Daphnia pulex: one gene and its partner. The protein of the gene in region 2 binds, or shares a complex with, the protein of the main gene of each other region. Links are inferred from orthologs where the notes say so. Each region holds a gene or a part of one and is shown on either strand. Other genes may lie near its edges.

Region 1 (3,515 bases), on a different chromosome or scaffold from region 2:
TATCACAACTCCATTGACAGTTAAATCTGATACTTCCAGAATGCCAAGACCGCCTGTTAAAGTTGTTACTCCAGCAAAAAGGATTCCCCTTGAAACATTTTCCTCGCGTTCGTTCTCGATTGCTAACTCAGGAAACCGAACAGGTATTTAAAAAATATAGTATATGTATGCTTTAATGATCAAGGTGATTTTAACTTGAATTAACTTGTCCGTTTCACAGGCAGCAATGGCCAGGTACAACTCTGGCAGTTTCTCCTTGAGCTGTTGACCGATGTGAATTTCCGGGATGCTATTTCTTGGCTTGGGACAGGAGGAGAATTCAAATTAAATAACCCCGAAATGGTGGCTCAACTATGGGGAGAAAGGAAAAACAAACCACACATGAACTATGAGAAACTCAGTCGAGCCCTGAGGTATTATTATGATGGCGATATGATTTGCAAAGTAAGCGGTAAACGATTTGTGTATAAATTTGTTTGTGACCTCAAACAACTGTTGGGCTATTCGGCTGATGAACTTAATAAGCTTGTAACAGAGTGTGAGCAACGATCCAAAATGAGACGGGCAAGTTCGTCATACGTGTAAATACAAAACGTATTTGTTTAAATCATTGAGAATTGACGCCATTAATGATAAAATTAAGTTGTAATGCCGTTCAAACAATTTTTTTTAACGACCTTCTAATACCTTTTATAGCCCAATTTCAATAACAAAAACATGTTTTATAACATACTATATTAATTACATAACAACACAATTTTCGGCACCAGGTCCCATCGATTGAGCAAAATCCGCGCCACCGAAGGGATTCGGTAGCAGTTCAGCTTCACCAGCCAGTTCCTTGAAATTAAGATTTTTCATTAAATGAAAATCAATCAAATTATTCGTAGTCGCACTCACTTTAGGGGGATGGCCACATTCTTGCATTTGTTGCATCAAAGTTAATATCTTTTCAAAGCGACTATTTTTCGTCGCTGCATCATCAGTGTCGTTATCATTTTCGAATTCGGTACACACTTGCTGCATAACGGCGTATTGGCGGTTGTATTTTTCAAATTGCGCAGGTTCTAATTTCGGCCGATTGTCTGCGAGCCAATCTGGGTACTAAGGAGATAACAATAAGTTATGAGAGACAAGATTGACTATCATCAGTTCTCAAGTGAATGCTTACCTTGCTAACAATCTCTTTGATAGATGGATAAAGCAACTCCTTTGATAACAAACTTTGAAGCATTCCTTGCATTGCAGGTAAAATGTCACCCAAACCTCCCATATCTCCACCAGCACCATCTCCAAATCCCCCATCTGGTCCAAATGCCATTTTTTCAAGCATTTTGGCTAATGTAGCTTCATCAGCTTCAGTCTATGGAAAAAATAAGGACATGTTAAAGTAAAAATAAAAAAGTTTGGTTTATCCTACCCACAAAAATTTACCTGAAGTGATTCTGTTCCTTCTGCTAAATAGCGTAGAGTATCAGCAAAGGATGCTCCCTGGTCTGGTTGTCTTTCAAATACTTTAGCTGCAGCTTCTTGTGATACCTTTAACAAACTTTCAGCAAATCCAGAATCACCACTGGCCCCTGGTGCTGTTTCTGCCATCATCAAACGAATATTTTTCTCAAATTCCAAACTCGCTTCTTGAATAAACTCCTCAGACCACACAACATCTGATACTTGATCTGTAGGTGCTGCTGCTTCGGCTTTAACATTGTCTTTTGTTTTGGGCACTTGCAGTGGCTTGTCAAATCCTTCCAGGGCATCTGTTACATTTAATGAATGTTTTATTCCTTTGTTGGCAAATAACTAGTTAGTTTAAACTACATACCGTCAAGTAAAGCGTCTAGTTCTTCGTCATCTCCTTTAGATTCTTCTTTAATATCTGCCGTATCTTGTACAGACTTTGGATCATTAGAACCGGTTCCACTCATACTGAAATGTATCTATTTACAGCAAAGTACAGAATTGTATAAGTAGAAATAGATTTCGATATCAATAATATCGACACAGGCTTCAAAACTTGCTCATCCGGAAATTTCGACAAGGAAAAGAGTGCAAGACCAGACAAGACGACGAAATACTACCTCATAAATAAAACGCGATGTTGCCGAAATCATTCGGTATTTAGTGATGGTTCGTGCGTGCGTGAATGAAGCAGATGCGCTTCATCATGATTCATGAATGCTTGTTTATTAAAATTATATTTGGCGTGAAAAATGAATTAAAACAAATCACTTTTTTTTTAGGTTTTGAATTTTGCGTCTTTATTGGGAGAGTAAAATGTATTTTTTGTTCTGAATAACAGAAGCGACTGCTCATTCATAAATATTTTCTAAACCTAACAGTAATATTTCGTAACATAGTCAAAATCAAAGATTTCCATTAGGGCGGTTGCTTTAAGCTTAGTCTTGCTTTAACAAATGAAAACAGAACATCGAACATGTCGTTATATCCCGTTGTTACCAGTCGAGCAGTCGTTACCATCCCGCCTTTGCTTCAAAGTTCAAATCAATTTCACTTACCTGCCAGACCCAAATTAAAAGCTATGAAAGAAGGAATTTTGAAAAAGTACGTTCAGTTGGTAAAGGTAATATGTCTTCCGACAAAATGACAGTAAAAATTGTGATATTCTATAACGTACACGGTGGTCTGCCTTGCCGCAATAGTGCTTGTCCATTGCTGATACCAAAATCAATACATGAGTAGTAGTTTTCACTGATCCTCCAATATCTTGCTTCGTTTTATTCTTCCTCTTCTCTTCTTCACGAATTGCTGTACTACCGATTCTGGAATGACACATCGCGAATGTTCACCAAATCAAGAAAATTCACCATCTAGCCTACCTGGTATGATTTCGAGATGGTGGAGTCATTTTTTTTTTTAAGGCAAACTTCAATTGCTTAAAAAAATAATTGACACATAATGTGTTGAATGCTGATAAAATGGAAATTCAAGTATGAATCAAAATGAGTGAACTTAAAAAAATGCAAGTAATGCATCTGTATTTCATTCATTAAAAATGTAAACATTCAACATGACCTGCACCAACCCAATTTCACCCCTGATACTAGTTAATAAAAAAATTTTGGTTTTAAACACGCGATCCATATTCTAACAGAGTTTTAAATCATTTTAGATAACAGCTTATAGCTGTAACGGATTAATAACCTTTATGTGATAAAGTTACAGGACGAACATTTAGGCTGCAATTTCTATTGGTAATGAATTCGGCTGAAGTTCGTTTGGGGGACATTTTTACTCTTTAAAAAAGACACAGTTTAACCACTGTTAAACGAGAACAAATGATCATAGCCAAATGATTCGTAGCACCTCCTAAGTACTAATAAGACCGGGGAAAACTGTATGGGTGCTCAGTATTTGCATGTAAGGAGAAACGATACACAAAAAGGAGAAAAGCACTGGAAGAGCACTTCAAGTTTAACGTGGAATTAAAAATAAAAATTTTCGATATGGGGAACAAATTGCTTTGATTGCTTTCGAGTTTCGGATCACCCTCT
Region 2 (4,377 bases):
TTAGTGCAACATTACATGAACACCACCAAAAGACTTAAGTATGATGTCCAACTGCAAATTCATACAAGTTCCATTACAGGGAAGCTCTCAGATGGAAAATGACTGCAAGATTCACACCAGACAACACCATCGACAGCTCAAACACCAAACTGACCAAGGAATCCTACAAAACAAAAGGACATTAATAAGCCGAGAACATTTTCAGATTTGAAAAAAAAATCTGTTGTCATAAAAAAGTCTACATCTCTCTATTAGCTGGTTTTCACAAAAGCTGTCTTACTTGAAAAGAAGTAGGTGTCGGATTCTTTCTTTATCAAAAATGTAATATACAACTAATATTCAAAACAAAGAACATATGAAGCATCCATAGTAGACTACAGATTGAGCAAAATGCTTGCCCACCGATTGATTCAAACTGGCAACTTTTAACAACTGCTGTCATGGAAGCAAGAAATAATGTCACTTATTTTCCGACATCAAGAACAAAATGCTACCTAATTCAGCTTAAGAGTAACTTTTTTACCTTTCCAGATTTCCTCTTTTCACCTTATTTGTCATTCAATATGGAAGAACCTTCTCTAGGACGCATTTTCATGACAAGACAGCGATAACGTGCACGCAACACATGTTCAGACAGTTCAAACTCCATAATGCTGCTTATAGAAAAATATTAACTCAATTACTACATATCAAGGAATTTCAATTCAGAAAGAGTCATAGGAATTAAGAGATAATCAACAATTTTACTTGTACATAGACGTCTCAGACGAAACGTGCAACACGCAGCAAGAGATATTTAAGAAAATGTACAGCAATATGACCAAGGATAAATCTAAGGGCACGAACCCCGTAAATTCACCACACAAAATATTTAAAGTTAATAACCTTAGATTAACGCAGAAATTACCTTTTTCGACGAAGAATTTCAGAAAAATGCACTCAGCAATGACTAGAGTCACTATTCTCGGACAGCGTCACAGTTTAAAAGAAAGAGGAATTAGAATGTCGTCTCAAAAGTCAAAACTTAAATAACGCCCCCATTCATCCCTCTACACACTAGGGCTGAATAGTTCAATCCCTAAACACATTGAATTATTTGGCCACCTAGTGACAGCCCTTAGCATCCACGGGACCACGGAGTCACGGACGACAAAAGTCAGACGGAAGACAAACCAAATGTTCGTCATCTCCGTGAAATAGATTTAGTTGAAATAAAAAATGCAATTATCGAAAAATTAACAAGTGAGCTTTGTTGCTGGAATTATTTTTACAGATATGTACAAAATAGCTTAGCTGAAACTGACTAATTTGATTTTACAGCTGAAAATGACCAAAGGCTTATGATAAAGTCATCTAGCGTTAGAAAAAAGAAACGTACAAACAATTCGTTCGTGACTCTCAAAGAGGGTCTGAATTAGAAATGACTCAGACACAGCTTTTAAAGCTAGTAGATTATTAGTAATTATATATTAAAATAAGTGAATTGTCGGGTACCTAGGCACCCGTGGTGAGTGACTGTCACAGCGGAGTGAAGTGGTCCAACTCGTCAGTAAACTCTTTACTGTAACTCAATATATACCACGTATTTAATACCATGATCACACCACACAACTATCATTCCTCCTTCATTGCTCACGTTACATTACCATATCTGGAAAGATGAATTATTGTATATGCAAATTGCTACAATTCTATTCAGTAGTCAATTTTCAATAAAGTGGATGGCTGAACTGAAAGACAATTTTTATAGTATCCTTCTCTTGCTTTTTAAATTAAGGCCGACTAGTCGAGATTTAAATAATAGCAAAATCACTCTCTAAAAAACCACTTTTTACTACTTACTAATTACCATTAATTCATAAATAATGACTACGCCGTCTACGCGAGTCCGTGAAATCTTCGCTTCAACTGTTCAACATGAGTGGCAGACGAATAATTTTCAGCATTAGCTCAACAGCATCCGCATGAATTTCCGTCCTTCACTTGTTTTTCCTGAGTGTGATAACACAACAAACCGAACCACCTGAAATTTCCAAGGTTGCGTGATAATACATGCCTGTTTGGCTGATTATTCAGCGTTTCTGAATTGAAACTTCGATTAATTTCCACAATGAGTGAAGCAGGTGAAGAAATCAACGGAGATTCCCTCAAAGAAAATACACAGCCTTTACGCGAAGACCTGGTAAGTGGTAACTGTAATTTGTAAACATTCTTTTGAATGCATTTCTAGTTTATTAAAAATGCTTTATCACATTAGTGGTACAATGCAGTGTAAATGATTAGAACATGGTTTTTCTTTAATGTGTAAACAACTGTGATTCTGTGTGTATGATTTACAGATTTCCACTGCTGTAAAGTTTTTGCAAAACCCCCGTGTTGCAACTCGTCCCAGGTCAGAAAAAGAATTGTTTTTGCAAAGAAAAGGATTAAACCATGCTGAAATTTCTGCAGCATTTGAGGCCTCTGGAATGAAAGAAACCAAATCAGTATGTCATTTTTATCCAGGCACATATATATTAAAAGGATGGATTCTACGATTTTTTTTTATTGAAGGAGGGAGGTGTAGGACATTACTCTTCAGTTAAAGTAGCCCAACTGCATGAATATAGTCGATCATTGGCACCAGTTGCAACATCAAAATGGAGTATAATCAGGGATATACTAAATGCATCAGTCCTTATAGCAGGAGCTGCATATAGCCTTCATTATTTGTACAGGTAAGAAACAACTATTTATCTAATTTCTTAGTTTGGAAACATTAAGGTTTTTTCTTTTACTTTTAGGCGATTCATAGAGCCTTTTTTATTTGGCCATAAAAAGAAGAAGTCATTGGCAGACACTGTTGAAGAAATGAACAAGAACCTCACTTGTTTAGTCGGCGACGTTTCTGCTGCTGTACAGAATCTATCAGACACAGTTGCTACGCTTCGTTCAAAACAGCACGAACAATCTGAATTGAAGGAGTTAAAAGCTGAAGTGACATCATTGAAAGCCATTTTGTTAGGAAGGTAAAGTGTCATATAAATTTATAATTTTGATTAGTAAGGAATATGTAAAATTATTGGAATTTCATTATTGGAATTTGAAATTCATCAGGCGACAGTTTCCTGCTCCTCCAGCAATCGTGACTGGGCCTCCCTCTATTCCCCCTTGGCAGTTAAGCTCAACTAGTGGAGCAAAACAAGATCTACGTGCTGAACAATCTAACAAGAACAATCAAAGCGATGGCATTTCTCTGTCTTCATCCCCAGAGATCATCTCCGTAGAGGACATGCAAACAAATTCTTCGTCGATGGTGAATGCTGGTTTGAGCTCGGTGTTACCAGCTCGTGGTCCGAGCGAGAGCAGTGAATCCAATAGTGCCGAAATAGTTGAAATGGGAGCTTCTGGCGCATCTGGGGAAGAAGATACAGATTAAATTGCCAATTTTAACCATATTATTAATATTATGCCTGTTGCTTTTGTGTTGGAAAGAAATGTGAAATTTAAATACTTTAGTTGATGGCCTTCAAAAGATGAGCATCGGTGATCGAGTTAAAATTTCAAGCTGTATATCAACTAGTCCATGTATTGACTTTTACTTATTTCGTCGGGTTCGGGGCATTAAGATAAAAAATGGGAAAAGAAGTCTTGTTTTTTTTTGTTTTCTTTTGTTTGGTAGGGTGAGCGATACAAGGGGTAGAAAGGGATGATGTATTCACACACTTCCGAAATGGATAAGATAATCAAAAGAAAGAGACAGAGGAAGAGTATTCACTGTACACAATTAAAGATTGTTGATTCCACCTGGTTAGCCATATTGCTTTCAACAATAAATCTGTCAACTGGAAGAGGAAAGTGTAAGAAGAGAATAGAAGGGTCAACCAATCATGAACAACACGTTTTGTAAGAAGAAAAAAAAATATTGTCGTTAGTCTCTCAGCACACTACACTCCACATCAAATCCATCCAATCGCACACGCGTCATATCAATTGTTGTGTCTGTTAAAGACAAGGCCGGTCGATTACGCAACGAGAAAACTGAGGCCATCTGAGGACCGTTTGTAGTGATACCTATCGGTCAAATAAGGGCTCCTCAGTAGTGTGCAGTTAAGAGTTGTTGATCGACTGGAAACTGATCAAAAGTGAATAAACGCAAGGGAATGAGACTTGGCTGCAGAGGTGATAAGGGAGGTGGGCAGAAGTGAGGGAGCTGGTATGTGCCGGATGAAAATCACAAGTCAGCAAAACTACCAGAGTCGATGCGAGTGCAAGTTCCTGCCGAGAACACTTCGAACGTCCTGCGTGAATCGCAAAGCGTCTAGTACCGGTAGCAGGTTGAGCAGGGCAGTGTCCATTGGATCGGAGAACCAGGATTTGATGGGTATGGCATTGTCG

Evidence for each region.
Region 1: the proteins of peroxisomal membrane protein PEX14-like (region 2) and peroxisomal biogenesis factor 19-like are in contact, whole or in part, in an NMR structure (PDB 2W85), measured with the Homo sapiens proteins. The link is inferred for Daphnia pulex from reciprocal best matches to the Homo sapiens genes PEX14 and PEX19. Residues at the interface, in NP_004556.1 of Homo sapiens: Leu28, Thr31, Ala32, Lys34, Phe35, Asn38, Ser39, Arg40, Val41, Ser44, Thr48, Phe52, Lys56, Leu58; in NP_002848.1 of Homo sapiens: Gln67, Phe70, Phe71, Leu74, Phe75, Ser77.

What each region holds. Positions count from the first base shown.
Region 1 is NC_060022.1:6,085,113-6,088,627, reverse strand, and holds peroxisomal biogenesis factor 19-like, read right to left. Parts: upstream 2,086-3,515; 5' UTR 1,929-2,085; coding exon 1,826-1,928; intron 1,761-1,825; coding exon 1,435-1,760; intron 1,364-1,434; coding exon 1,172-1,363; intron 1,105-1,171; coding exon 901-1,104; intron 841-900; coding exon 742-840; 3' UTR 627-741; downstream 1-626. Other genes in the region: DNA-binding protein Ets97D-like, read left to right, coding at 1-143, 221-585. UniProt on the Homo sapiens protein: Necessary for early peroxisomal biogenesis. Acts both as a cytosolic chaperone and as an import receptor for peroxisomal membrane proteins (PMPs).
Region 2 is NC_060028.1:9,567,771-9,572,147, reverse strand, and holds peroxisomal membrane protein PEX14-like, read left to right. Parts: upstream 1-1,405; 5' UTR 1,406-2,110; coding exon 2,111-2,182; intron 2,183-2,339; coding exon 2,340-2,486; intron 2,487-2,553; coding exon 2,554-2,717; intron 2,718-2,783; coding exon 2,784-3,008; intron 3,009-3,096; coding exon 3,097-3,418; 3' UTR 3,419-3,627; downstream 3,628-4,377. Other genes in the region: CTD nuclear envelope phosphatase 1-like, read right to left, coding at 4,230-4,377. UniProt on the Homo sapiens protein: Component of the PEX13-PEX14 docking complex, a translocon channel that specifically mediates the import of peroxisomal cargo proteins bound to PEX5 receptor.